2 linked regions of the Notamacropus eugenii genome follow. The protein of the gene in region 2 purifies or fractionates together with the protein of the main gene of each other region. This does not show direct contact. Links are inferred from orthologs where the notes say so. Each region holds a gene or a part of one and is shown on either strand. Other genes may lie near its edges. The genes, in order: OSTF1 and MYO1E.

The links.
Region 1: the proteins of MYO1E (region 2) and OSTF1 purify together in Homo sapiens (co-immunoprecipitation; 3 studies listed by BioGRID and IntAct, counting the BioPlex papers as one, with this or other methods). This does not show direct contact. The link is inferred for Notamacropus eugenii from reciprocal best matches to the Homo sapiens genes MYO1E and OSTF1.

The regions. Positions count from the first base shown.
Region 1 is NC_092874.1:374,991,114-375,006,597, reverse strand, and holds the start of OSTF1 (osteoclast-stimulating factor 1), read right to left. Parts: upstream 6,340-15,484; 5' UTR 5,909-6,339; coding exon 5,875-5,908; intron 1-5,874.
Region 2 is NC_092872.1:136,920,220-136,935,672, forward strand, and holds the start of MYO1E (unconventional myosin-Ie), read left to right. Parts: upstream 1-7,746; 5' UTR 7,747-8,187; coding exon 8,188-8,190; intron 8,191-9,234; exon of another isoform or gene 9,235-15,453. UniProt on the Homo sapiens protein: Actin-based motor molecule with ATPase activity. Unconventional myosins serve in intracellular movements. Their highly divergent tails bind to membranous compartments, which are then moved relative to actin filaments.

The sequences.
Region 1 (15,484 bases), on a different chromosome or scaffold from region 2:
TAATGGATTTATCTGCCTTCAGATCAGCATAATGAAATTGGGAGAGGTTTGTCACCAGGAAGTTGGTAACCAAGTGATTAATGTTTTTTAGCCACAGAAACCATGGCATTCATGACAATGAATTTATTAACCAAGGCATGAAGGAGTTCCCATAGTAATGAATCTTGACTTGTGGTTAAATTAACCTAAAGAAAGAATCTGTAACTTACAGTTAATTCTTAACCCACTGATAAGTGTGTATGAGTACATATGTGTATGGATATGTGTGTGTGTGTGTGTACACACACTCGAGTGTATATAATTTTGTCTTCCTCTCATTCTACACACAAGAAAAGACTCCTGTCAATCCTGAGCAGGAAATGCCTGTTCCAGTTGGGGTACAAGACAAGTATTACCTGTAGTTCTACTAATCACATCTAAGTCAAATCATTAGATTGTAAAAGCTTCTTGAGGGGTCAGGGGCTGTTTTTGCCTTTCTTTGTAACCCTAATGCTTAACAAAGTTGAGCACACAGTAAGCACTTAATAAATGCCCAGGATTGAAAAAGAATAGAGGTTGTTGCTGCAATAGGAGGGACAGATTGTAGTGGCTAGGGTTACCATCAATTGAAACAGACAGGAAGTATCTCTTTGGCCACCTTTGCATACAACGAAGTTAGATCAGTTACCCAACCCCTCCCTTACCCAACGTTTTGTCCATCAGTTAAGAGCACTTTCCGAGGTTTCATCTTTCACAAATATTATACTATATGTTGTGCCTTTACAAAGGGTTGGAACAAAACTCAGTTTCCAAGAAATTTAATATCTAATGAATGAATCCATAAGAAAGAGAAATAAGGATACCAAAGAGCAAATAGAAAGTGACAGCCATGGAAAGTGAGTGGACAAAGATGGCTCATGCACCAGAGTAACTAAGGATTCTAAAATTTCTTTTAAGAGAACAATTACTGCTTTTTGATGTAAATAAGATACACACATTTTAGATTTAAGTTGCCCATGATTTGGATCTGACAGAAAATCTGATTCAGGGTATAGTTTTTTTGGTGTGTTTTTTTTCCTAATCTAACCTAAGATTTCACCAGGGGCCAAGAAATCTGTGGTATGGAAATTTGCTCAACCAAAGTAGATCCAACAGTCTGTAATTTATAACTTAAGAGAGTTGCCTAGAGAACTGTGAAATAAAATGACTTGTGCAAGGACATACAACTTGTATGTGTCAACCTATCCACTATTCATGCTTCTGCTACAAGAGATTAGTATACAGCTAAAATGACAACACCAAAAATAATAACTCCCAGGGGTAACTAATACATAGGATGATAGATCTAGAATTGGAAGGAACCTTAGAGGTGATCTATTCCAACAACTTTGTTTTACAAATGAGGAAATGAAGCTCAAAGTGACTTGCCCAAGGTCATACAGGCAGGAATGAACAAACAGAACCCAGAAACTCTACAGTTTCTACTCTTCAAATCCAGAGATCTTTCCAATGTAGCATCACTGACTCTATTGTAGCTGACTTTTTTCCACCAAAAATGTAATTTAAGCAGAATTCTTTAGTTTTCATGATCTAATCATGAATGCTAGAATGATTTTTAAAACACAATTTTAGTTTTTTTCTGATTTAATTTCAATTTAATTTTCTGTATGACACATCTTTAGTACTAAATAATAACCAAGAACATGGAATACTTATGATGCTTTGCTTTCATCCATAAAGTCAATATGCCATTAGGAAAAAAAACAGTGCAGGTCGGTGACCAGCCAGGCTTGTGGCTGACAACTAAAAATTTTACAAATTTTATCTCTGTTCAACTTGATTAAATGGGAAATTTCTTACAAAATTCAGCTCCTGATATAATTTCTTCTATTACTTCTAACTCCCATTCTTTACACTAAATATTGAGATGAAGTTTGTAAAAAGAGTCTTCTTGGATAGCAAACCTTTGTCTGCTATGCTCTGACATGCTAAACAAATTCACTTATTCTTATCCAGCCTTCAGAATACAAAAGGACCTAAAAATAGTAAAACTGGTGGTATAGAAGTATTTTTACAGAGTATTTTTACATAAATGGGGAGGAGGGGACAGGGAAGACACAGACTTCTGGTTTGGGTCTGGGATATATTCAATTTAACAAGCACAGATTGAAGGCCTACCACAAAAAAAGGCACTATGCAGGGGGGCTGTGCTAAGGAATGGATGTGGTGGTGACAAATATAAGTATTACCTCACTCTTGGCTCTGCAGGATTTTAAAAGTTAGAAGGGAAGATGAGAAATGAACACAAACAACTCTAAGTCAGAATGTGATAAAGGCAGAAACAATGCACAAGGCTAGGGATGGGAACTGAGGCTGTGATTTTATTGACTGAGGTAATTCTCTAGACCAGAAGTAGGGAGGTATGGTCTCTGCAAGTTATAGTCTTAGAAAGTTGCAAGAGGCATAAAAAGATTAAGTGACTTGCTCAGGGTCACAAGTGTATAAATGAGAGACTAGACTTAACTCAGACTTAACCTAGCTACAAAGCTGGTTCTTCTCCACAGAAGAGTAGGAAGGAAGAAAGGAAGGGAGGAAGGGGTAGAGATGGGGGACAAGAGGGAATAAGCATTTTTCATTGTTTTTCAGTGATGTCTGACTCTCCATGACCCCATTTGGGGTTTTCTTGGCAAAAATAGTGGTTTGCCATTTCCTTCGCCAAATCACTTTACAGATGAGGAAACTGAGGCAAACAGGGTGAAGTGACTCACCCAGGATCACATAGCTAGTAAGTGTCTGAGGCCAGATTTGGACTCAGGAATATAAGTCTTCCTAACTCCAGGCCCTGCACTACTCTACCCAGGCCACTGCACCACTTAGAACATTTATAAATGGCTTACAGATACTAAGCTAAACACCAGTCATACAAAAAAAAGTAAAAAGAAATATAGTCCCTGCCCCCAAGGAGCTTACAGTCTACTTGACATTTGAGCAAGGTCTTGAAGAATAAAATTTCAGAAAGCAAAGAGACTGGGGGGGGAGGAGAATTCATGATCTGAGAATTCAAGGTAGAGAGATACGAAAGCAAGAGCAAAGGCAGAAGTATTATAAAACAAGAGATGCAGAGAAAAGCAGGGGGGAAGTGTTGTACCGTAGAGTTAGGGAAAAAACATAAAGGGCCTCAAAGCTAAGCTCCAAAGTTTGAGACATATATCTTTAGGGGTGAGGAACCTGCAGTCTCAAGGCCACATGTGGCCCTTACATCCTCAAGTGTGATCCTTTGACTGAATCCAAACTTCACAGAACAAACCCCCTTGATAAAAGGATTCCTCCTGCAAAACTTGGCGTCAGTCAAAAACGTAGCACCCAAGGTGCATGAACTGTCTAACTGTAAAAGTGTATGAAGGAGTTACTTGATACTTTTAAACAGGGGTATAACAAAATGATCCGAGTTGTGCTTTAAGACACTAACTTTAGTAAGTGTGAAAGAGGGATTAGAGAGCACAGCAAACGAGGCAGACCATTTAGGAGTCTATTGCAATAGTCCAGTAGCACTGGGAACAGAAAGCAAGACAATGAAATAGTGATCCATGTTAGTGGGGCTTAATGGTAGTAGACAAATAGTGTCCATGTGAATGAGTACAATGACTCAAGTTTAAGAACTAGAGATTCCTAATCTTTCATAGAAAAAGAGGCTAAGTGACTGATAGATCCTGTACCATGATAATAATCCATTAAGCAAATTTGAAAAAAAAAATGCAACAGCCTTTTTTTTTCTGACTCATAGAGAAGGAACAGACATCATCACAGACATTACTTAAACTGTCTCTAGATCCAGAAGACCATTTGATCGATTTCCAGGACTTTTTTTTTTTTTAAATAATTGAGTGCCAAAGAATAAGACATTATTTTCATTTGATAAGTTGCTTTCTCCTGGCAAATAAAAATCAAATATCCAATGGCAAAATTTGATCTCTTGTCTAAAACACTTTCAAGTCCCACTGTTTCACTCTTAAGAGATAATGTGGGATAATTGAAAAGATGGGGGAACTGGGAGTCATGACACCATATATATGACCCCGAGCAAGTCACCAAACCGATTCAACCAGAGTTAATTCATCCATAAAATGGGTATAATTATAATAGTACTTGTTCTACCCTAGCTTACAGGATTGTCATGAGCAAATGCTTTGAAAGCATTTTCAGAAAACAGAAAACTTGAAATCAAAACATAAAAATGTTATTATTCACACCCAGTCTTTGGTCAAAATAATAAAGTCTACGATCACTCTTCTTTTGGTATGGCTTTCCTATCAAGAACTACTTCACAGTTTTAGGAATTCATCAGTGTCATCACCCCTCTGATGCCTCAGTCCCCCCACTGCCTATGTGGATGCTGCTTGGGAGTTGCCATGCCCAAAAAAATATCATTATCTGGTGCTGAGCCTGTGTCTGAAGTAGGCTGATCCTGGGACAACAACCTGACTCAGAATCCGTTGCCAAAATCACATGCAAAGCATTTCCAACATGGTAGACCATAATAGGACATATACATAGCCTGCAAGGCCTCCATACACCAGGAAGCACAGGGTTAAGATTTAGTAGGGTCTATGCAAATTTAAATCTCAAGAAACTTGCAAAAAAAAAAAAAAGCAACCAATAATTTTGAGAAGAGAGCAGCCTGGCTTAGCAGCTTAGCAGGGGAAGGGGCTCCAAGACAATGGTTCATTTGTCACAGACATACTGTGTGACCCTGGGCAAATCATTCAACCTCTCAGTGACAGAGACTAAAAATTTCAGAGAAACTGCCAATACACTGGTCAACGGAATCTCCTTACTGGGAGTACTGGCATTCACCAATAACATCACAAGGGTAGTAATTTTTTTTTTTCAAATAAAAGGGATTTACGGTACTCTTATTTCCCATTTTTTTAAAGGAGGAAAATTATACTATGTTTGAAAACACTATAAATTTAGGGAAAAAATACAATAACGAAGGATGTACAGAATAAAACCAAATCCTTGACATTCCTGAACAACAATAGAAAACATGTATTCTGAACTTTGAAGATGCTTTTATTAAAGTTCAGCAAATCCCCCGATTTCGGAATTCCGACTTACTCCATCATTCATCAGTATCCTACTGAAACACACTGGATTCAGAAATCAGCTGTCCCTTTCCTTCCTCTCTCCCAAGCGCACAGAACCCTTCGGTAGAGAGGATAAAAGTTTACTAATGAATAAGGACTATCTGCCAGGGTGCTTTCGGAGGCTTCTCTCCACTCGGGAGGGCAGGCTCCGCTTCCCCCTCGCCCCCGCCGCCCATATTCACCCCGAAGCCTTGATGGCGTATGTATAAAAGTGACAGCTTGGAGCCGCAATGGCCAGGGCTGCCGGAATCCTTCCGGCCCTGAAGCATTAGGCCGCTGGAGCTGACTACAGGCTTTCCAAAAATGAAGCCGAGATCAATGGAGTGCATTTGCTCTTCCTTCCGGAGACGTCCCGCAGGACTTCATATACTTACCTCACCTCACCCCACCCACCCATGCACTTCCCACTTTTGGGTCCGTCTTGACTCTTGACAAGGATACAACTCCCCCCCCCCCCCCCAAAAAAAGGGAAGTATCTTTAAAAGTCGTTTGGAGAATTTTTTTAAAGGTATAATCAAGCGATTGACTTTATGTTACAGACATCCCCCCAGGAACGCTGCAGAGCTGCCAGTGCGTGCGCTCACCCCCAGATCTCAAAACTCTTGTCATCAAAAACAATCCTGTCATTTCTTGAACTTAAAAGTCATCGATCACCCTCCAAACTGGTTCGCTCTGTAAAGAGAAGAGGGCTCGGCGGCAGCGCAGGGAAGCAGGGCAGCCTGGCACCCGGGTGGAGCCCCTCCCTTACCTGGCTTGACGGGCTTAGGGGGCGGCTTGGACATCTCTCCAGCCGGGGCGGCGAATCCGAAAGGCCGGGGAGGGAGAAGACCAAGTACAAGTCTGAGTCCGGCTCCTCGGCCGCTCTCTCCTGCCCAGCCCACCCCTCCTCGAAGGGGAAGAAGACTGGAAGGGGGGCTTCCTCCAAGCGGTGCTCAGCGTCCCGAGCGCTCGCTCAACGAGGAAGTGAAGGCTACCTCAGCAAACGCTAATTGGCTCGCGGGCCCCGAGTGCTCCAGCGGCTGCAGCGGCTCATGCACGCAGCAGGGATGCGGAAGCGGCGGCGGCGGCAGAGGCGGCGGAGGCAGCCCAGCCCCAAGCCGAGCCCAGGCGGGACGGAACGGGCCCGGGAGGGAGCGCGCGGGCGAGCGCGGGCACGGGCGGCGCGCCCCACCTCTGAGCGGGCGCGGAACCCGAGCTGGGGCCCCGCCCCCAGGCCGGAGCCGGAGCGGAGGGTCAGCCGACGGGACTGGACTGCGCGCTGCCTGCGGCCTGCGTGCCTCGCGGCCGCCCCGGGAAAGTGCCGGAGCCCCCCGGCTTTGGTGTCGAGGGTCTGAGCTGATCACCCGCGCTGACGGTCTGCCCTGAAAGCTGCTCGTACGCTCTGGGGGACCGGTGGCGAAGTGGTGCCCGCCCGGGACTACCTGCCAGGTGAGTACCTGATCGGTGCGGCGCTGCGCCTGCGGGGTCTTCACCCAGGTGCTCGCTTGGCCACCGCGCCTCCCCCTTTTAGGGGTGCCTCAGGTCGCACTTTTTCGAGGAGAAGGTTGTTGTCACCATGAACATTCCACCAGGAGAGCTGCCGCCTGACGTGGGGAATAGAGGAGGCAGAAAGACCTGGGTTCGAGTCCTGTCTTTTACACCTCGTGGGCAAGTCTTTCAGCCTCTTGGTGACTAAGCAACTCTGCGAAGTGCAAATTACCTACAATGACCAGCCACTTCATTGGTGGAGGGAATTTCCACATGGCGTGGTTTCTTCCCAAACAAACGAGATCAAGGTTCTCTTCTTCTGTCACCACCACCCCCTCTGTAAAATAAATGATTACCTGGCCTTCTTATGTAAGACCTGATGGTAGGGGTGGGGGAAACTTCCTAATAATATAAGCTACCTAGGAGTTGGGCTGGTTCTGTTGCTAATAAGCTTATAAGCTCCTCGCTGGACCCCTTCCAGCAACTGGTTTTATATTATATATATATATATATAGTGTGTTTCTGTTGTGGAGAGGTTTACTTTTCAACTATGAGTTGGACTAGATTGCTTCTGTGACTTTTAAACGTCTAAGGCTCATAAATTTAGAACTGAAAGTAACTTAGAGGCAATTTGGTCCAGCCTTTTGATTTTGAGTAGGAGGAAACTGACTTGCCCAAGGTCACTTAAGTAATGAGCATCAGAGGTACAATTTTCCCCCAAGTCCTCTGACTCCAGAGTCAGTCTCCTTTCCATTATATTATTATTACCTCCCAAAATGTAGACTATCGGTAACTACTAACTGGTATGCTTTCTTTCCTGTCTCTACAAAATTTTCATGAATATAATCTTCAGATGAACTGGAAACATCCTTGTTGAAGGTATGAGGAGGTTACAGGCTTTTCCAAATTCTACAGCAAACTGCATCTGTACAGTCACATTTGACTGAATATACCATGGAAAATAAAAGATCCCAATGTGCTTGTTATTTGACAAATAGAGGGGAGAAAAAAGCAAAATTTCACTTTGAAAACTGCTCCAGTGAAGCTCTTGTATACATAAATACAGTTTGTACAAAATTCCTTGAAACACCTAACAACAGAAGCACTAAATCAGATTAATATCAAGCAGGTCAGAAAAGAGGCAGACATTCTCACCCAAGGTATTTGCCAGTATCATGTAGTACAGTGTCCCAATGAAAAAAGCCGTGCCCTACAGATGAAGAAGTCTTCTCAAAGTCACCCATTTGCAGGTAACATTCTGCTGAGTGCATCAAGCCTTGCAGCATTTTGCAGTGCTCCTCCCCCACCCCAACAAGATCCATAATCCCTTCTGAAGCTTGGGTTTACAGTTAAAAAAAGTGGATGAAGCACACCTGTTGTTCGGTAGAAGTCATCTAGTTAGATGGCCAGTCCATATTGCTGATCCATCATTGTTACATTGTTGTTCCATTGTTGTTGTCTGCTTCATTCTTGAAGAGGACCATGACATTAGGAAGGTGATGCCGTAACTTGCAAGTGAATAGGGTTTAAGTGAGTGAGGGCTGTGCAAGATCACCAGCCTCACTTTCTCTTCCAAAGCCATCTGGATCCAGTGGCAAGATACAGATACAAGATACAGGAGAACTGGAGATCCCACCTCCCTCATCGTTACATTGTGTGTGTTAGTCTTTCGTTGCCAAAGAAGACCATGCCTTCAGAGAGATGATGACATGACTTGCACTTGACTTTGTTTTGAGTGAGGGAAGGCTATGCAGGTCATCAACCTCACTTCTCCTCCAGAGCCATCTGAAACCAGTGACCAGATATTCAGCAGGATGACTGGAGATGACCCAGGATGAGGCAATTGGGGTTAAGTGACTTGCCCATGGTCACACAACTACTGAGTGTCAAGTGTATGAGGTAAGACTTAGGTCCTCCTGACTCCTGCACTGGTGCTCTTTCCACTGCACCCCTAGCTGCCCCTCATCATTACATATACCTTGGCCAAAAACTGGGATTTGTTAATGAGCCAGGCCTAGAACTGAGTAGAGGGAAGGAAATATGGTAGATTACCTTTGGAAAAATTGTGTAGTGCCTTTGATGACCCTGAACTTCTCTCAGAAAAAAAAAAGCCTGTTATTTTTACTCCAATATTATTTTTTATTAAATTAACAAATAATCATCCAATATGAATATTAATACAGTTGTACTTTGCATGAATTGAAAATATATTAAAGATATCCTGTGACACCCATGCAAACAGAGGACGGGGAATGACCAAACAGGCAAAAAATGGGGGGAGGGAGAGTGGACCTGTGGCAAGTAGAGGGCTGAGGTTAAATTTTACCGCAAATTGAGTATGAGTGAGCAGTGGCCTGCTGTTGTGAAAAATGCCAACTAGAATCATGCTTTCACTATATGCTGAGTTTAGAACAACCTTATAAACTTTTTATAAATATACTTCAAATGGGATGTGGAGAAACTGAAGCAGGACATAATAATAGTAACAAGGATAATTAGAATGGCAAATAGGTCTTAACAGTACAGTTTAAAACAATTGGTATTGTTTTAGTCTAGAGAAGGGCAAAGCTAAGATGTGGCTGTGATAGAAGCATGGGGTTTTGCTTTGTTTTTTCAACATAGGAAGGCTAAGCAGGTATTTTCCACATCTTTGGAAGACAAAACAAGTGGAAATTGACTTACAGGAAAATGACGAAGATTGTGATTAGACATAGGGAAGAAACAAATTGATTATTACAGTAATAAAACCGTGGAATCACTCATGAGAGGTTGAACTCTCTTTGATATACTGAAGAATGAAGCATGAAAAGGTATTTTTTCAGTGCCATCTATTTTTAAGATATTGTGCTAGGGGATGTGAAAAATATAAAGAATATGAGATACTCACCACAACTTATTTTCTAAACCTTTTCCAACCTCCCAAGGTTCCATCATCCCCCACTCTTTCAGCTGAAAGCCTTCACTTATCTTTCACCGAAAAATTTTTCTAAAAAATATTTGCTGAAAGCTCACTTTTTTTCTCTTCATGCCATATCACCTCGATGCTTTCTGCCACTATCTCTTCCTTCACTCCTGTCTCATATGAAGAGGTGTCCCTTCCGCTTGGCAAGGCTAATTTTAGGTGTGCAAGTGATCCCATTTCATCCCATCTTCTGTAGCAGATTGCTTCCTCTATCATACCAATTGCCTCATTTGTCTTCATTCTCTGCCTGTTTACTGCCTGCTTATATACATGTTCATATTACCCTATTATCAAAAAACTGTCACTAGATCCATCCATCCCCACTATCATCCCTTGTCTCTCCTTCCTTTTTTTAACATTTTAATTGTATTTCTTTTTAAATTCTGAGTTCCAAATTTTCTCCTGCTCATATCCTCCCACATCCACTAAGAAGGTAAGTAATATCATATCAATTATACATGTGAAGTCATGTAAAACATATTTCTATGTTAGCCCTATTTTTTTTAAAAAAAAAAAAGCAAGAAAAATAAGCGGAGAAAGTTATACTTCAATTTGTACTCATAGTTCATTGGTTGTCTCTCTAGAAGCGGATGGCATTTTTTCATCATAAGTCCTTTGGAATTATCTTTTAACATTGTATTGGTCAGAGTACCAAGTCTTTCACAGCTGATCATCATTACTACATTGGTGTTATTGTGCCCAGTGATCTCCAACTTCATCCCACTTCACTTTTCATCTGTTCATATAGTTCTTCCCATGTCTTTCTGAAATCATCTTCCTCATCATTTCTTATAGCATAATTATATTATCGTAGTCATATGACACGACTTGTTCAGCAATTCCCCAATTGATGGGCATCCCCTCCATTTCCAATTCTTTACTACCACCAAAGGAACTACCATAAATATTTTTGTACATATAGTTCCTTTTCCTTTTTTTCTTCTCGTTGGAATACAGGCCCAGGAGTGGTATTATTGGGTCAAAGAAAATGGACAATTTTATAGCCATTTGGACATAGTTCCAAATTGTTGTCCAGAATGGTTGGACCACCTTATTATTCCACCAGCACTTCCATTAGCGTACCTATTTTTCCCTCATCTCCTCCAGCATTTGTAATTTCTGATAGATGTGAGCTAATACCCCAATATTTTTCTGATGGTACAATGTGACTACAAGTCATGGAATACCACATATAGTCTCTGAAAATTCAAACTGCAGGTCACCCAGAAGGCTATGAGGAGGCCCATGCTGAGTGTAAATAGATCGCAAGGTACCTCCATTGCTGCCATCAGAGATATACGTGACTGAAAAAGAAGGTATACATGGTGAGGACAGTAACTAACTACTGCGCCATTGGTATCTGTGCAGCATCAAGAGACCAAGAGGAAGGCCTTTGATATGTCTCCTTGTGGAGAATTTTTGGGAGGACATGGATAAGAGTCATCCAGGATGAGAAGCTGTGTAGGGGCTGGGATCTACTTCAATGAAGGGAGCACCCACAGTGAAAAGATCCATCCAGTCATCAATCCATCAAAATATCGAAGCAAGTCTTATAACTTTGTTAAAAAGAAATGAAATAAGGTTATTTTGACAGTCAACATTTACTTAGTGCTTACTATGTGCTCAGCATTATACTAAGCACCTGGGATACAAAGAAATACAAAAACTGGCCCTGTCTTCAAGAAGACAATAGTTTCCATGTAAAAATAACTACTTGCATACCAAGTTGAAAGAAGGTAATCTCAGAGTAGAAGGCACTAGCAGCTGGGAACACTGGAAAATGCTTCAGGCATAAGATGGCATTTGAACTAGGTCTTGAAGGAAGCCAGGAGAACTAAGAGGTAGAAGTGAGGAAAGAGGACATTCTAGATGGTGGGGCAACAGATGCAAAGGCATTGTTGGGAGATGGAGTGTTGGTGAGTGAAACAGTGATTAGGCCAGTGTAACCTTATAAAATAACGTCACAGCTAGGTGGTACGGTGGATAGAATGCTGGGCCTGGGAATCAGGAAGATTCATCTTCCTGAGTTCAAATCTGGTCTCAGACATTTCCTAGCTATGTGACCCTGGGCAAGTCACTTAACCCTGTTTACCTCAGTTTCCTCGTGTGTAAAATGAGCTGAAGAAGAAAATGGCAAACTGCTTCAGTAATTCTGCCAAGAAAATGCCAAATGGGGTCAAGAAGAATCAGACACAACTAGAAACAACAGCTGGATATAAAGTCTGTAAAGGGGAGAAAAATATAAGAAGTTTGGAAAGAGAGAAAACCCATACCACCTTGAAGTCATCACCACTTCCTTATCCTAATAGTATATGAAGCTAAATCCTCAAAGAGGATTTAAAGGTTTTCATTGCCTGGCCACATCCTGCATTATTTCACAACTCCTCTCCATGCACTCTGAGGTCCAGCCGTACTGAATTTCTTGCTGCATTTCACAGACAGCAGTACATCTCTCATTTCCATTTCTTGTCATTGACTGTCCTCTGTCCCCAGAATGTTCTCCATCTCCACCTCCACGTCTTGGAATCCCTAATTTACTTTAGGACCCAGCTCAAGTACCACCTTGCTCAGGATGTCTTTGCTGGTCACAACTGCTAGTGCCTAAGGTTACCTAGTGTCTGTGTGTGTGTGTGTGTGTGTGTGTGTGTGTGTGTGTGTGTGTGTGTGTGTGTATGTACACAATATGGAGAAATTAACTAACCAGCTAGGAAATAATGACAATGCCAAAATTCAAACCCCGGTCCTTTCACTCCAAATCCAAGGGTCTTTCCACTACACAAGAGCTTCCTCCTGTGTTCACAATTTAATATTTAATTATTTAACATTTAATATTTTTTTCTCAAATTTTGCTGGGACTCATCACTAAGGACATTAGCTGGTGGTATCCTGTCTATAGTTTGTAGTTAATTCTTTGCTTCTTGTGTCATTCATTACACTGGGATCTCCTTGAGAATAGGGACTATTTTTCACCCTTTTTTGTATTTCCACTACTTAGCAAGGTGCCTGGTACGTAGTAGCTGCTTAATTAACATTGACTGACTTTTACCCATTCCTAAAAGTGGGACATTGGCCTTTTTCCAATACCATAATACCGGTCTGTAATTGTGTGATGATAGATAGATTAAGGGAGATATTTGGACAGTAAAAAACCATCCCTGCTCCCCTCAAATCAGAGCACATTATCTACCTATGAGGTATGGGTCTAGACACTACTATACATATAGACTGAATATACAAGAAAAATACAACTAACAAAAATCAGTACAAGAATATATTGGCAGTTACTAGATTCTGTTCTCTGACTCCTCCAAGATCACCATCAGTTCTTCTGCCTCTCAGCTGTATACAAGGTATGTCAACACTCACAGGTGCTAAAATTTAGTACAGCTAATTTTGAATTCATTTGGGGCAGTTAGATGCCTTCAGGACATAGTAAGAGAATAGCTCATTTAACTTTTTTTTGTTCTTTCTACCGAAATATTATTTAATACATGTAAATACATATCTATTTCACTCTTGCTCTCTCAAAAGGATCTCTCCTCCATCCTGATTCTACCTGGCTCTTAACACTAAGCAATGCCTTCAAGAAGTGTTTGGGGATATTCCTAATTAGAAATCCATTTTCATCAAAAGTATTTAAGAACCTTATGATACACCAATTAGCCAGATTAAGTCTTTGCTTCCCAGGAAGAGAGAACAGTGAATGGTTTATTTCCCCAGTGTCTTCACTGGGTATCTTCAAGGAGTGTTAAAATTTTTTCAGAACTAAATTTAGTTCACTTTAGAGTCTTGTAGAGTCTTGTGTGAGTATTTATGAATGTATCCATGGGTGCATATGATTATTTGTTCTTGTATATACATGAATAAATTAATAAACATATAATTATGTATAATGGGCACATATCATAGAACAACTCTTTGAGGAGTCCCTGAAAATAGGATTTAAGACTCAGAACTTCAGATAGGCTGGCATAAAGATTTCTGAATGTTTCAAAATACTAAAGAAAAACTAGCTTCTTAATATTCCATCGGATTTCATATCTCTAATTGAAACTCTGTTTCCAGACTGACAGTCTAAGAAGCCTTTTCTTAAACTTTCGCAATAAACCTTAGGTGGAAATTGCGATGTAGGTGAAATTCGTCTTTAGCCCCTCTCTCCTTTTTGTCTTCTTTGAGGACTTCTCCCTGCCTGGTGATCTCGCAGCTGCTCCTTCTGTCAGAGCCTCTTGAAAATGAATTATACCACTAAAATGTGAATGTACTCACCATCATTCCTTCAAAGGAAATCTGAACTTAAAAAAAAAACTGTAGAAAGAGATGGTAACATTTAACCTAAAGAAATGTCTGTGTGACTATAGGCAGTGGTATACAGACCATCCCTGCTCCCCTCAAATCAGTATATATCTCTATCACTGTATATCTATGAGGCAAGGGTTTGGCCAGTACTATACGTATATGCAGAATTTATATAGAATGTAATACAGAATAAACAAGCAAATTACAAATAATAAAAATTTTATATATGTATATATACACTTGCAGTTACTAGCTGACTCCAATTCAATAAGTATCTATGAAATACCTCCTTACAGTGCAAAGCCTTGCCAGTATACCAGGCTACAACAATAAAACAAAGTATCTCCTGTCTCCAAGGGATACAACCCAGATGAGCAAAAACAAAATAACTTGAAAAATGAGAAGGCACTTCCACCTATGGGGTAGCAGAAAAGGCTTTCCTTTGGAGGTGGCCCCCAAATTAACACGTAAGTGAAGCTAAGGTTTTGGAAGAGGTGGAGCTGAGGAGGGAACATATTCCAGGCCCTGCGGACAGCTTATACAGAGACACTAAGTCTGGAGATGGAGTTCATGGGGTACATAAAATGGGACAGTGCAACACATCTAAAACACAACTCATTATCTCCTTCAAAACCCTTCTGAATTTCCCTCTGGCTCACAGCCTCTGCCATCTTTGGCTTCTCTTTCCTGCTCACTCTATCCAATCTTTTGCCAAGTCATGTCATTTCTACTGTGATAGCATCTCTCATTTATGTTCCCCTCTCTCCATTCACACAAATAATAGTCTAGCGCAAGTTCTCCTTATAGCACACCTGGGGTATTTGTATTAACCTTCTATTTGGTCTCTCTGCCTCCAGCCTTTTCCACTCTAATTCATCCCTTACTCAGCTACCAAAGTGACTTTTCTAAAGCACAGATATGACACTCCTCTCCTCCCCCCCCCCATTTAATAAACTGAAGTGGCAACCTCTTAGTAATACTCCAAGATCAAATATAAAATCATTTGTCACTTAAATCCCTTCACAATCTCTCCCCTTCCTACCTTTCTCATCCTCTTATACTTGATAATCTCTGTGTCCTCTGTGCCCAGAATCCTCTATCTCTATGCCCACCTCCAATTCCTGGCTTCCTTTAAGATGAAACTCAAATTCCACCTTTGTCATAGGATCTTTCCCACCCTTATCCTTCCCTTCCCCTGCTAGTGCCTTCCTTCTGAGATTACCTTAGATCTATTCTGTATATATCTTATACATACCAAGTTGTTGGCATGTTTTCTCTCCCATTAGAAAATGAGTTGCTTTAAGGTAGGGACCATGTATTTGTTGTACTTTGTCTACTCAGCACTATGCCTGACATGTGCGTGTAAGCGCTTCCTGTATGCTTTCTCACTGAATGACAGCAACAACCACATCAGAGGAACAAACAGGCTAAGAGAGAAGGAGTAGACTCAGCTCAGAACACTGTTCCACCTGCTACAGTAGTTACTTGGTTGAATCAATTGGCCAGGTTACGCATGATTCAGTTTACTGAAAGAACCAGCCTCCAGATGAGCATGATGGCACAAACCTGTAATCCTTTGCTACCACTGATAGATCACTTGATCTTGATAGGTCTGAGCAGTAGTAGACAAAGC
Region 2 (15,453 bases):
AGACTGACCACCAAATCAAAGGTCTACTGAGCCATTGTGCAGACCTCATTGTTATATGCCTGTTAAACTTGGACAGTATAATATCAGACCCATGCCAGGAAACTGAATTGTTTCCATTTGAATTTTCTCAGGAAGATTCTGAAGATCACATGTCTGGATTAGAAATCAGACACTGGGGTCCCTTCTCAAACTAAACTGCCAAGCATTCAATCTCTACTGTGGAGAGCGCAACTACTATGGTCTGATTATGTTGTTTAAATGTCAAACATACACTTGCCTAAAAGACTATTTTATGGAGAACTCACATAAGGAAGGCACTCACATGGTGGTCAGAAGAAGTGATGCAAGGACACTTTCAAGGCATCTCTGAGGAACGTTGGGATTAATTCCATAACATGGGAGATTCTGGCAAAGGACTGCCCAGTATAGCATAACCAGGTCAAAGAAAGCACTGTGCTCTGCACAGATTCAGAGAATCCACTCCAAACGTTCTCATGCACTATTTGTGCTTAACTTAACTATTTGTAGAGCATTCTGAGCTCTTGTTGGTCTGATCGACCACAATTGGACACACTGTAACTTGACTCTAACTTAGTGAGGTTTTTTGGTCCTCTTTGAGAATGAAGATCAACAGTCAACCAACCATATGACATGGGCACTCTCTAGCTTATCAATGTTTTTCTCAAATTGTGGTATTCAGAGCTGACCACAATATTCCAGATGAGGTTTGAGAAGGACAGAGTTTGTTGAATTATTGCCTTCCTGGAAGCATTGCCTCTCATAATGCTACACGATATTGCTCTACATTTTTTGACTTCCACATCATACCACCGATGCACACTAAGCTTGCAGTCTGCTAAAAGCCCCAGATCTTTTACAAAATCGTTGCTTCCTAATCAACCCCAAGACTATCTTGCACTTGTGAAGATGATTTCTTTATGCCCAAGAGAAACACTTTATGTTTATCCCTATTGGATTTAATTTTCTTAGATTCAGATGCCCTAGTTTAAAATCGTTTTCAATCAGGATTCTGCCATCCAGTGTGTTAGCAATGGACGAATGAAAAACCATTTATTAAATGTTTACTACATGCTAATCCAACAGAGGTCGCAACCAGGGGTAAAAAGGGTAGGCAACATGGTTTACATGTAGTAGCAAATCATGAAGATTATAGGAGTGCATTATGGTACCTGGACATTGAACTTTTATCAGTTAAGAGCACAAGGTGAGTCAGTGTGATGATGACTAGAGTGGACTCTGGTGGATCCAGGGGTTATCTAGTGGTCACATCCTTCAAAGTTCTTATCATTTTCACCCAACAACCACTTCTTCCCCATTAGTGCAAATCAGATCCAGAATAGAATTTCTTCTTGTTTGCTCCTCAGTCTTTTGAAGAATGAATTTATCACTAATACAAGTTAAGAAATAATTATCTCCTTTGCTTTGGGTAGAGTAAGAGTTCTAGCAAACGTCTGGACAATATCATGCCTCTGTGATGGGACTGTAACCTCTTTCCCAAAGTCCCCATCTATTTCCTCCTTCTGTCCAGGTGATCTATAGTTTGACAAAGTTATTTTTGTTTCTCCTTCCAGTTTTCTTTTTCTCTTTCTTGTTTTATCCCAGTTTCAACCTAGTGTTTATGTGGAATATAAGCGTATCATTTTCTCAAAGTAAATAAAAACTAAAATAGAGGATCACTAAAAGTATAAATGTTTCATTTAAGCAGTGTCATTGTGAAATGAAATATTCTATATAACTGAATTTGCTACATAAATAAACTTGAATCACTTAAATACCTGAACTTTTAAAATTTTGAAAGATTGCTCCAAATCACTATTATATATAATGAAAAATAAATCAAAGCAAATTTGAGGTTTCATCTTATTTCCAGCAAATTACTATAGATGATAAAAATTGGGAATAGTCAGTATTGATAAGTCTGTGAAAATCTAAATTTCCAAGTATTGCACAAGTACCTAGAAGCACAAGTATTGTTGGTGGAGCTTTGAATTGATCCAATCATTCTGGAAAGTAATTTGGATTGTGCTAAGAAAGTGACCTTTTGACCTAGAGATCCTACTCTTAGGACTATTCCCCCAAGGAGGAAAGAGTTAAAAAGACAAGGGGCCATGCACACCAGAATATTTATTGCAGCATTTTTTGCAGTAGCAAAGAAGTAGAAACAAGATAGATTCCTATTACTTGGAGAATACTCCCCCCCCCCCAAAAAAACACACACACACACACACACACACACACACACACACACACACAAAACTATGGTATGGAATATGGTAGATCAGTTCATATAAATAATATGAAGAATTCAGGAAGGTAAGGTAAGAAGTAAATGAACTGATACAAAGTGAACTAAGCAGAAGCAGGGGAAAAAACGTACACAAAGACTACGACAACAAAAGCAAAGAATAACAACAAGAAGATCAAAAGTGAATGTATTGTAATTATAATGACTAAATATGACCCTGAAGAAGAGATGAAAGAAAGAAAGAAAGAAGGAAGGAAAGAAAGAGAAGGAAGGAAAAGGAAGAAAGGAAGGAAAAAAGAAGGAAAGAAGGAAGAAGGAAAGAAGGAGGGAGGAAAGCGAAAGAAAGGAAAAAAGGAAGGAAAGAAAGAAAGAAGGAAGGAAAAAGAAGGAAAGAAAGAAAAAGAAAACACATTTGTAGAAAAATATTTCTAGAGGTTTTTACTGTGATGGCAAAGAATTGGAAACTGAAGGAATACCCATCGATTATGAAATGGCTGACCAAGTTATGCTACATGAATGTAATGGAATATTATTGTGTTGTAAGAAATGAGAAAAGGGATGGTTTCAGGGAAATCTGGGGAGACAAATGAACTGATACAAAGCGAAGTGAGCAGACCAGAACAACTGACACAATAACAACAATACTGTTAAGTCTTAGGAATTCTGATCAATATAATGACTAACTGCAATTCCCTTTTCTCACTCTCTCTCTTGCCTTGGCTTTTGGGGCGGTATCCTCTTCTGGTTTTCTTCCTACGACCCTAACTATTCTCTTTCTTTTGTGCTGGCTCCACTTCTTCCATTTCTCTCCTAAAAGTGAGCATTACCCAAATTCAGACCTCAGCTTTCTGTTTTTCTCTCTCTGCACTCTGACCATTGAAGATATCATTTCTCTCCATTGCTTTAACTCTACAGATCACTTCCAAACCTATATTTCTAGTCCTGACTTCCCTGCTGAACTCCAGTTCTGTATTTCCAACAATTTACTGGATATTTTTGCACAGATATCCTAACATTACATCAAACTCATCAAGGCCAAAACAGAATTCCTCACATTTTCTCCAAAGTCATTTTCCTCTCCTGACTTCCTGCTTTTGTTAATTGTAATTACCATTACTGGGAGGTAGTAGAGTCAGAAGCAGGATAGATTAAAAACCTCACATTACCAAGTCTTGGTAGTATTTCTCCCAAACATGTCTTTGATCAATTTTGTTTTACATTCACTTGTACCAGCCTAATTTTGGTCCTCATCATTTCATGCCTGAAATACTGTAAGTCTTTAGAATTGATTTACATTCTCCTCCTTCATTCCACCTATCCTGCCCATCATAACCAGAGTAACCTTGGTAACAAAAGACCAAGATTTGGAACTGGAAATGAACTTAAGAGTCCAATCCCCTTCTTTCATAGATTTGGAAACTAAGATCCTAAGAGGCTAAGTGACTTGCCAAAGGTCATACAGACAGTAAATAGTAGAAACATGATTTAAATCTAGGTCCTCCCATTTCAAATAAGGCATCCTCCAAATACTATTTTGATCATGTCATTTATCTATACAAATACCTTCAATTGTTTCTTATCATCCTTTAATGAGAGCCCAGTCTCTTTAACCTGACAATACTGATTCAATCTACATATCCAATATTAATATTCATCACACTTGTACACAAACCTTACACTCTAAAAAAAAAATTACAATAATCTATTTTCTCTTCTCTTATCTCCTTTTCCTGTTGGAAAAAAAGAAAAAGAAAACCATTATAATAAGCATGCTTGGTCAAACAAAACAAATTTCTTCGTTGTTCATAAAAAGCCTTTACTCCAGATAAACTAAAATGTCACTGTCCCCAGAACATCTTTTATGCTTTTTTTGCTCCACGTTTTTTGTTCCCATTTTTACTCCACTGCCTCTTCTCCATGTTGGTTGCTATCTTCTCATCCTATCCAAATTCAGCTTGATCCCTGAAGTTATAAATCAAATTCTACTTTTCCTCTGACTTCCCTTCACTCAAGGAAAAAAATGAGTGCTTCCTCCTCTCAACTCTTATAGCATTTAATTGACAAATGCAGCTTGACATATTAGATATATTTAGCTTTTGTTAAATATCTTATTCCTATACATCCTGTCTCCTCAATTAGACTGTAGCATCCTCAAGATGGGGACCATATCATATGCTTCTCTGTATTTCCCATGCTGCTTTATGACATGCTATTTTGTGGACACCTGTGCAACACATGAGGGAACCCATAAATTCTCATTCTCACTATATGATGGGCCTGATTTGTTTCCTCATCGTATTCCTTTCTTACATATCCTTTATGTGGTTTATCCTATGTCAACTCTTTGTTAGTAATATATGTCAGGGGCAGCTAGGTGGCGCTGTAGATAGAGTGCTAGGTCTGGAGTTAGGAAGTTTCTTCCTCCTGAGTTCAAATCTGACTGCACTTACTAGCTGTATGACCTTGAGCAAGTTGCTTAACCCTGTTTGCCTCAGTTTCCTCATCTGTAAAATGAGCTAGAGAAGGAAACGCCAAACCACTCCAGTATCTTCTCAAAAAACCCCTAATAGGGTCATGAAGAGTTGGCATGACTGAAATGACAGTAATAACAATGTATTGCAGTCTAATTATGGTCACCATGTTCCTCTCCATTGTCCTTTGGATGACCCAGAGTACAATTTGAAATTGGTATGTGGCATTGGGAAGAAGAAGGTTCTCATTTTGGAGGTCTTCAAGCTAAAGCTGGATGACCATTTATTAAAAAATAATAACAGCAGCTTACATTTTTAGAGCACTTTAAGCTTTGTGAAGCATTCCATGTATGTTATTTCATTTGACTGCTTGGCTCTATTTTAGAGGGGAATCTTTTTCAAACATAGATTGAATTAGATTGACACAAAGGCCCGTTCCAACACTGAAATTATATGATTATAACCCTTAACTTTAATCCTGTGGAGACCATGGTATTCCCTGACTCACAACCACATAACATTATTGGAAAAATACATCAATCTGTTGCCAAGTCCTGTTGACTACCTTTGAAACATCTCTCCACTACCCTGTTGAAGATCCTCATCACCTCACATTTAGCCAGTAGATATGCCAGTCTCAAGTCTCTCCCCTGTCCAGTCCATCTTTTTCCATTCAAAAGAGATCTTCCCAAGTTCAGGTCTATACATGTCACTCTCCTATTCAATCAACTCCATTGTCTCCCCATTATTACCGGGATCAAACATAAAATCATTTGTTTGGCTTGAAACTTGGTTATAACTTGGCTCCTTCCTACATTTTTCATCTTCTTTCACCTCACTCCCCTTCACATATGTTATGATTCAGTGACTTTGACCTCCTTACCTGGAATTTTCTCCTTTCTTGTCTCAACTTCCTGGCTTCCTTTAACAACTAAAATCCTACCTTCTACAAAACCTTTCCTACCCATTCACCTATCCAATCATTTGTCGATTATCTCCAATTCATCCATAAATAATATATCATTTGTACATGGCTGTTTACATGTCATCTCCCCCATTAGATTATGAGCTCCTTAAAAACAAGGATTGTTTTTGTCTTGCATTGTATCCCAAAGTTTAGTACAGTATCTGGCACATAGTAGGTGCTTGTGGACTTGACAGTACTAATATCCAAGTATCCAAGATGGATTATAGCCTTAGCCTTGGGTAAAAGTACAAGTCTGTCCTCCTGTATGACAAGGACCCTGAAACTGGAATTAATGCTGCTTCCTTCACATATGAAGAATCAGAATCACTGAAACTCAAGTAGGAAGAGATGTCAGAGAGCATCTAATTCAACTTGTACTTAAGCAGGAATCCTCTCTGCAACATTCTTGGTAAATGGTTATTCAGTTTCTGTTTGAATACTTTTTTCTATTACCTCTCAAAGCAGTTCATAAAATTTAAAGTGGCAAGATGACCAGGTCCAACACCCTCAATTTACAGAGGAGGAAACTGAGGCCAAAGTAGTAAAGTGACTTACCCAGTGGAAAGAGCACTGGCTTTAGAATCAAAGCATCTAGCTTTAAAACCTTCCTCTGGCATTATTATCTTTGTGACTGGGAAAGTCATGAATCTTCCTGAGCCTCAGTTTATCTATAAAATGAGAGGGTTGGACTGAAGCCTCTTCCAGCTCTAGATATATAATCTTCCCTCCCTCTCCATATAGCTAGTAAGTAGTAAAGACAGGATTCCACTTTTGTCCAAGAGCTGTCCAGATCTAGATGCTAAGTTTTTCCTTACAATGAATCAAAAATCTGCCTCTCTGTATTATAACAGTTGATTGAAGCAAATGAATACTCAGGGCATTCAACTTGTTTAGAGATGCCAGCCCCAACCTCAGCCATGGTGTCCCCTCCAAAAAGCACTAATTAAACACCCATGTGCCAGGTGAAGATACAAAAACAAAAATGAAATAGCTTCTTCCCTCAAGGAAGGTACACTCCATGGGGGCAAGAGGATGTACACATACATACACAGACACATACGCATATACCTAACAACTAAAGCCAAAATAGATGCAAAGTCATTTCAGGGGGGAGACACTGTATATTACCGTTTGTGAGATTATTTCCAGCTTTAGAAAGTGAGACTGTAGCTCCAAATGAGCTAAGATTCAGAGATACACTAGAGATTTTATCTTTCACAGGGAAGATAAGATTGGGTAAAGTAGGATTCAATCTGGGTAATAAGGAATTGTGGTTGTTCAGTCATATCTCACTCTTTGTGTCCTCATTTGCAATTTTCCTGACAAAGATACTGGAGTGTTCTCACTTCCTTCTCCAGCTCATTTTGCAGATGAGGAAACCAAGGCAAACAGTTAAGTGACTTGCCCAGGGTCACACCACTAATAAGTGTTTGAGGCCAGATTTGACCTCAGGAAGAAGTCTTCCTGACTCCATCCCTGGAGCTCTATCCACTGCACCACCTACCTTTCTAAATAATCCATCACTAGTACTTTATGACAATCAGATTTTCAATAAAGGCTGGGGGGGGAGGGGAAAGGTGATGAGCACCATTTTGATTTCCCTTATAATCCTAGACCTGAGAAAGAAAACGGATTTCCTCTGGGCTTCTGCCATGACTCTGATCTTCTTTGCTGATAAAATATTTTTCTTCTTTTTCATTGTTCTGGACAAGACTGCTTCTCTAACCTGGGAGATACACAGCTCACCCTTTCATGCTGAAAGAAGTTTGAAGTTTTTCCTTTATTTTATTATTTTTTGTTGAGCTCTTTTTCTCTTCTAAAAGTACCAAGTCTTTAAACTAGGAGATTAGGTCAACAAAGTTCTTTTGAAGCTGAAGGGGAGGAGAAAGGAAGGGCCGGAGGACTACAGGATCCAGAAACCTTTGGAAGGCCTAGCTGCTCCATGCTTGTTGGCTGCTGGAGTTTCCCTGAGGAATGACGCTATGAAAATAAACCCTGATTCGTCAGGGCCGAACTGAATTCTCCATTTAAGGACAGATTGCCGGGCCTCAGCAGAGGCTTAGCCTGGGGAGTACATAGTGGGAGAGTAAAGAAGAGGAGGAGCCAGGCTGGCGGTGGAGCGCCCCTGCCGGGACTGCCCCTAGCCAGCACTTAGCCAGCACTTCTAGTCCGGCGGCCGGAGGAAGCTCTAGTAGATTTCTTGACTTCTCACCGAGCTGTTCATCTCTACACAGGATGAACAGGGTCTGCTAAGGGAGACGCCCCCCCCCCCCCCCCCAACCTGCCCTGCCGATCCTGCTTGGATGGAGTCTCCCCACTGCTCCCATTGGTTTCTTTGAGTATCTGAGGTTTGGGGAGGATTCTTCTTTTTTTTCGGCCGAAAGGAGCCAACTTTTGAAGTTCGAGAAGGAAATTACATTTCAGACCCTCCGCTCCCCCTGCAATCGGATCGAGGTGGAGGAGCGACGGCCACCGAAATCACCATGGTGAGTTGGCCGGGGCTTGGAGCTGCCGGCGGCGCCGGGGTGAGCAGGGGACCCGGGAGCTGGGGCAAGCTGTCCGGAAGGCAAGCCCACCTTGCCGGGCCACTTACTCGCCGGTCCTAGAAAACCCACCTCGGCCGCTTATCCATCAGTCCTGGGAAAGGTTGGGAGAGAAGAGGTAGGGGTCCCTACTCCTTCCTTCCACCTTTTTCAACAGGTTTCCGGCACGAAGAGGAAGCAAAAAGTGCCTTAAGTAACTTCTCGGTCTCCAAACTTGTCTGTGTGTTGTGTTGTGCTGCTTTGTGTGTTTGAGTGTGAGCCTGGCCGTCGGCATCTGGCCGCTGCCGTTGAGTTGAGCGAAGGAGAACAAGCCACATGTATTTTCCGGGGGGTCCCGCGGGCACGGCCCCTCTCTCGGTGCGTGAGTCCCCTTTCTTCCTGCTCGCGGGTGGGGAGAGCCCGCACTGTGCAGCTGCGCTCTTTCCTCTCGGGCCACCTCTGCCTAAGGCGACGGAGCCGCCTCACCTCAGCCCACCCTTCCGGACCCCTAGCCGGGGTCCTTAGCGCCGGCCGCCGGGGAGCGGGGCTGCGTCTTCCCGGAGACTGCTCTCTCATACGGAGCCCTGATTCTTGTACGATCGGGATCAAGTAGGGCTTCGCGGTCCCGGCTGGCACTTGCAAGGTGGTGTGGGAATACCAGTCTGGAGAGTGTTTTTGGTCGGCCTGTCCTGGAGAAAAGAGAAGAAGGGAGGGAGAGAGGGAGCGGGGACAGCGCCACCGCCACCGCCGTAGCCACAGCCACGAAGGGAGGAGAAGGAAGGGAAGGTCCAGGTAAAGATACCTGAAGAGATCGGCTGATGGATGGGCCGGGCCGGACTGGGCTGGTTGCGCCGAGCGAAAGTGACAGTCTGGCAGACTCAGAAATCCTGTGGGCTTAGGGGAACTGAGACTGGCCAGATCTGTACTCGGAAGCACAAAAATAGCTGTTAGTATGTCCCAAAGGACCGCCTCGCCGCCCGCTTCCCCACCACTGCCAGGTGGCCGTGCCTCAGTGTGCAGAGATGACCGCGAAAGTTCTGAAGGCACTGCCCTCCTGCGCAAATTTGCGAGTCCTTTTCCGAGTCTGTGGAAGTAGCCCACTCTCCTCTCCCCACCCATAAAGATAGCACACCACCGCGCCTTAGTCAGACTTCTCTTGGGTCTTTTCCCTTCCTTAAAAGTCCCAGCACCACCAAAAGAAGAGCGTGGAATATTTAGGGGAGGGGGGGATAAAAAAATTTAAAAATTGGAAAAGCTACAGAAAAGACTTGCGAAAAGATTGGAAGACTGGAGAATTTGTACTAAAGACTTTGTAATTTGGGTATTTGCCTTACTGAAAATAAGCTTGGGAAGGTTGGATGAGAGAGAGAGAGTTGATACTTCTGTGTGATCTTAACGATTGGAGAAATGGGGAGAGGTTAAAAATGATACCTGGTAGAGTAGAATATTAGTTAAAATGTATATATTCTAACAAAGGGCAGGCAAGTGAAAAGATGGCCCATCAGGGCCTATACTTGCTTTTTATCTCCTGCTGTCTTGGAAATTGTGTTTACAAAGATTGATTTTTGTCTTTGGGAGAACCTCTCTGGTCTGAAGGGAACACTCCAGAACCCATTACCAATAGATAGTGAAACGTAGCATCATATTTGTCCCTACAGAAAAAAACATAAAACACACATCAATTTTCCTTTCAACTGTCAGGGTTCAAGAAGTTAGCTAACCCTAATTTACTTTGGAAACTAGCTTATATAAGTGGAGGATGTGTTTGGGATTTGTGCTTCCTGGTTAGAAGTGGAATTAGGATAAATGATAGTCCTGGTATTGAGGAATTTCTGAAATTGGTTTCTACAGTTCAGTCTAAAAACTTGGGCAATAAGATTGTGACAAAACAAATATTCTCATAACGTTTCAATAGTGGAACAAAATCTTGAGGGAAAATCCAAAATGTTGGATGCTTATTTAATGTTCTAAGAGATATCTCTTTGTAGCATATTCTGAGTGCCTGCAAAACCAATATACATTGTTGGATAGGTTGGGAGGATCCATAAACACTTGCAAAGGAAGGATATTACAGAAGAAAAAATGATGTTTAAAAATGATGTTTCTGAAATTGTGTAAACTATTCGTTTTAAGTCTTTCATTGTTTAGCAAGCACATAGCAGCAGCAGGTAGGAGTATGACTTACCTATTAGTGGGCATTTTGCCATGGACACAGATGGGCATGTCTGTGGGCAGCCAAAAGACTATCTGTGTATCAGATATGGTTGTTGAGGCCAAGGTTCCCTGTCAGAAAAGTTGAAACAGCTGGCTGCCCTGAAATAGGAGATGGGCCATCACTAAATCAACAATAATCTAGACTAATTTGCAAAAATAAAATGGATTTTTTTTCTATTGCCATGAAGAAGTGAGTGTGCTCATTTTTATAAAATGTCAAGCTGTGGACATTTGTTATTAAAGGTTGTGAGACTTTGTTCTAATAAAAAATATGATGTTTTGTTTACATTGGATCCCATGCCAACTTGGGCACTGTACATGGATTATGTCATCTGATGCTAAAACCTCAAAATGCACCTTTGTTCAGCCATGCACAGCTGCACCCCACTGTAATTTAGGGCAGGAAGGGAAGAAGAATTCAGTGGAAGTGGTTGAAAGTTAGGATGTAGACTGTAATTGGTATAACTTCTGCCAGGATCTAGGGATAACACCGGAGGGGGCCAATTTTTTTTTTAAGTTACATCTTTCAGGAAATATAGTTAGACCTTAGTCTTACAATTAATCAGAAAGAAACCCCACCTGTGCTGAAATCCTGACCAAGACTGATTCATCCCTGACTCATAGGGAAGATGGCCATTTTCAGACTCATGAGAATAAAAGACTTAATTTTTGTTGTCTCCTTCTTGATTTTCTGGCTTTTCAAAATTTGACATATGAGTATTTGATGACAAAAACCTTTATCTTTATGTGGGTAAATTAGAATGTAGAACTAAAGATATCTGTAATTCCATAAGAGCATAAATTCTCTAGAAGAGTTTAAAAATCTCATTTGGCTTTACCTAGTGGCCATTTAAATCCAGGATTCTTTCTACTATGTGTAAATTTCCTTGGAGAGACTATGTGGTATAGTGGATGGTAGGGTATATCAGACCCAGAATTGGAAAGCCTGTGTGACTGTGGGTGAGTCATTTGACTTTTCTGAGTTTCAGTTTTCTCATGTGTAAAATGGAGGGGAGGGAATTATACCTACACCCCCCATCTCATTGTTGTCATGAAATTCAAATGAAAATTATGCATTATAAATATTAGCTATTCCAGAATTGGTTTTTGGTTTGATGTTGTTCTGTTGTTTTTTACCGTTGCCACCAACAATACTAACATTTCTTTGACCTTAACCAATTACCAGTGCCTATGGACATAGGTATACCATCCTTTGGGTTCCCAGAAATGGCACAATCTGATATTTCTCTTTGTTCTCAGGGCTTCAGTAAATTAAATACATTTAAATCTTTGGGGTCCAGATCTTTTGGCTGAATTTCTATAACCAGAGCATTCCTATAGTATGCTAAAAAATCTTACAGAACATGTAAAAGATAACCAATGCTACCTTGTGATTTACAGGCAAGACTCCAATTTTTGTTCCAAAAAGCCTTTTGTAAATTAGTTGTTTGTAACTCAGAATATAGTTTCCAGTGTTCTAAATGGTAGATAGGTTTTTGTGAGGTGATCTAAGAACCTATTTAACACATACTGCTGTGCTGATAATACCCAAATGAAGCATTCGTAAGTTGAGGACTGTCTATTCTAAATAGAGAGATATAAATCCTTCTTTTCTGGAGATTTTTTATTTATCTCTCAGCCAGTGGTACAGGTTGTGGGTTTTGTTGATTGATGGTAAGCCAACTGGAAATCCACATAGCCTTCTACTCATTTTAGAAAGAATTCTTGAATGAGATACAGTTGAAACTTTGACAGGGTTTTAAGGAAGGGAAAGAATAAGTAGTTTGGCCAATTATAGATTAGGAACCCATTAATTATGGGTAGAAGTACAGAGGGACTGTAGTAGGAAAAGCGGGATAGAATCCATCATTAACTAGAGTGAAGAAAGCAGAGAGAGTTCATAACATCCAATGAAGAAAGAAAATTTTAATTTCTACCCATGTCCATAAACATATACTATAAAATGCTTAAAAGAAAAAGACAGAACCCTAAAGAGACATATATAGGGAAGTACCTAGTTCCCCTTCTGATCTCAGCCGTGCGTTAGTGAGGGGAGACAGAAAAATCAGAATAGGTTTGCATGAGACCTTATAAGGCTTTCAAACATAGGATCAGGGAAGCACTTCCCTTGGTGGAGTCTTCTTGGGGTTGGCATGGGTGACAGCTTTTTGTAATTGACCTGAAGTTTTGTTACAGGCTGTAATATTTAAATAACACACCTCCGAGGCAGTGATCAAATCAAAGTGGAGTAGAAATCTAAGACTATGGGCGAAACAGGATGTGGAGGAAACTGTACAAGGAACTTAGCCACTAGGTGGAAATGGCTTTGATTTTGAGCTATTATCTTTAAAAATATCCTGTGATGAAGAATAAAGCTACTAGAATATTTCATTATTATATGCCTGATAGTGATTTTATCTGTCTGTTAGGTGACTTTCTAATAATATATTTATAAAATGCTGGGGCAGCTAGGTGGTGCAGTGGATAGAGCACCAGTGCAGGAGTCAGGAGGGCCTGAGTTCAAATCTTACCTCAGACACTTGACACTCACTAGCTGTGTGACCTTGGGCAAGTCACTTAACCCCAATTGCCTCATCCTGGGCCATCTCCAGTCATCCTGATGAATATCTGGTCCCTGGATCCAGATGGCTCTGGAGGGGAAGTGAGGTTGGTGACCTGCACAGCCCTCCCTCACTCAAAACAAAGTCAAGTCATATCATTTCTCTGATAGCATGGTCTTCTTCGGCAACAAAGGATGAACACACATTTATAGAATGCTAGAACTGGAAGCTATCTTGGAGATCACCTAATACAGTCAACTCAATTTACAGTTGGAAAAAAAAAAAACAAAGCCCAACATGGGGAAATGACTCAGCCAAGGTCACAGTTGGTGGCAGAGAGTCAGCACTAGAAACCAGGTTTCCTTTTTTTAAATAATTAATTTTTAGTTTTCAACATTCACTTGCATATTTTGAGTTCTAAATTTTCTCCCCTTCCTTTTCTTTCCCCCTCCCCAAGATGACACGCAATCTGATATAGACTGTACTTATACATTCATATCAAGAATATTTTCATATTAGTCATGATGTAAAGAATTATAACTAATGGGAGGAACTGCAAGAAAGAAGAAAACAAAACAACAAAAGAGAAGGAGAGCAAATGGTCTGCTTCCATCTGCATTCAGACTCCATCGTCTTTGTCTGGATGTGGACAGCATTTTTCATCATGAGTCTTCTGGAGTTGTCTTAGATCCTTGCACTGCTGAGAAGAGCTAAGTCTATCAGTCAGTTATTGCAGTGTGGCTGTTACAGTGTTCTGGTTCTGCTCATTTCACTCAGCATCAGTTCATAGAAGAAATCAGGTTTCTTGACTTCCAATTTATCTATCTTGCTATTATATCCCACTGTACCCTCCCTATGCAGAGTCATGGATCTAGAGTTTAATTCAATAAACATTTATGTAATTGCCTACTATGTGCCAGGACCTGTGTTTTAGCAGTGGGGATTCAAAAAGAGACAAAAGATAGCCCCTGCTTTGAAGAAGCCTTATAATCAAATGAGGAAAATAACATACATACAAACAAATATATACAGACCAAGCTATATACAGCATAGATCGGAAATAATTAACAGAGGGAAGGCCCTGGAATTGAGGGGTTGGAGAAGGCTTCCTGTCGAAGGTGGAGTTTTAGTTGGAACTTAAAGGAAGCCAGAGAGGTCAGTAGTTGGAATAGAAAAGGGAGAGCTTTCCAGGAATAGGGGAAACTTGCTGGAGAGAATGCCCAGAGCCAAGAGATGGAGTGTTTTCTTCAAGGAACAACCAGGAAGCTGTCACTGGAATACATGTTGGGGAGTAACATATAAGCAGGACAGCAAGATAGTGCAGTGGATAGTGTGTCAAGCCTGAAGTCAGAAAAACTCATTTTAATGAGTTCAAAACTGGCCCCAGAAACTTATTAGCTGTGTGACTCTGGGCAAATCACTTTAACCCTGTTTACCTCAGTTTCCTCATCTGTAAAATGAGCTGGGGAAGGAAATGACAAACCACTGCTGTATCTTTGCCAAGAAAACCCCAAATTGGGATCATGAAGAGTCAGATAAGACAGAAATGACTCAACTACAACTACAGACAAGGTTTAAGAAGACTCAAAATGTAGGACAAGGCTAGGCTATGAAGGGCTTTGAATACCAAACCCAGCATTTTGAATTTTTACCTGGGGGCAATGGGAAGCCATTGAAGTTCATTCATGACTATGAACCAGAAGGGAACTCTAGGGCTATTTAGTCCTACTCCCCTCCTCTGTTTTGCAAAACTGAGACTCAGGGAAGTTAAATGACTCCCCCAAATCTTAAGTGTAGTGTTAGAAGGATTTAAACCCAAATTCCCTGACTTTAGAGCTAGAGTTCTTTACACTACAATTATACTACTCCCGTGTTGAGCAGATAGTTTCTTAATGTAGTATGATTTGAAAGGAGGGAGGGTGCTGAAGTTTCCTTTGGTAAAAAGGTATCATCTCTAGAAGGCCACGGAAAAATTTCCTGAAAATTATAAGCCATGTAGATGTCACTTTAATGTTTACAAAAGTGCTTTACTCACAGCAGCCTTTTGAGGTCGGTAGTATGCATATATTTTCCCTATTTTATGGATGAGGTGACTTCTCTCAGCCTCATTTTGAGGGACTTGTCCATGGCCACACAATGCCAGAGCCAAAATTCAAAGATTTCCTTTTTTAAAGTCTAGCACTTTTCACATCACATGCTGCATTGGGAAGGGTAACATTTAAGAATCTCTGATTATCATTCAGGTGACTTGGATTCTACTTCTGGCTATGATTCCAACTCCTTCTCTGTCTCTCTCCCTGTCTATCTCTTTCTGTGTTTCTCTGTTTCTCTCCCCTCCCCTCCTCCCCGTTCTCTCCCTTGTGCCCCAGGATGTGGTAAAAGTTGACTAGCTTTATATTTATTCTGAGCCTATATACTTCCCAAACAATATGAGTCTGTATCTTATTTGATG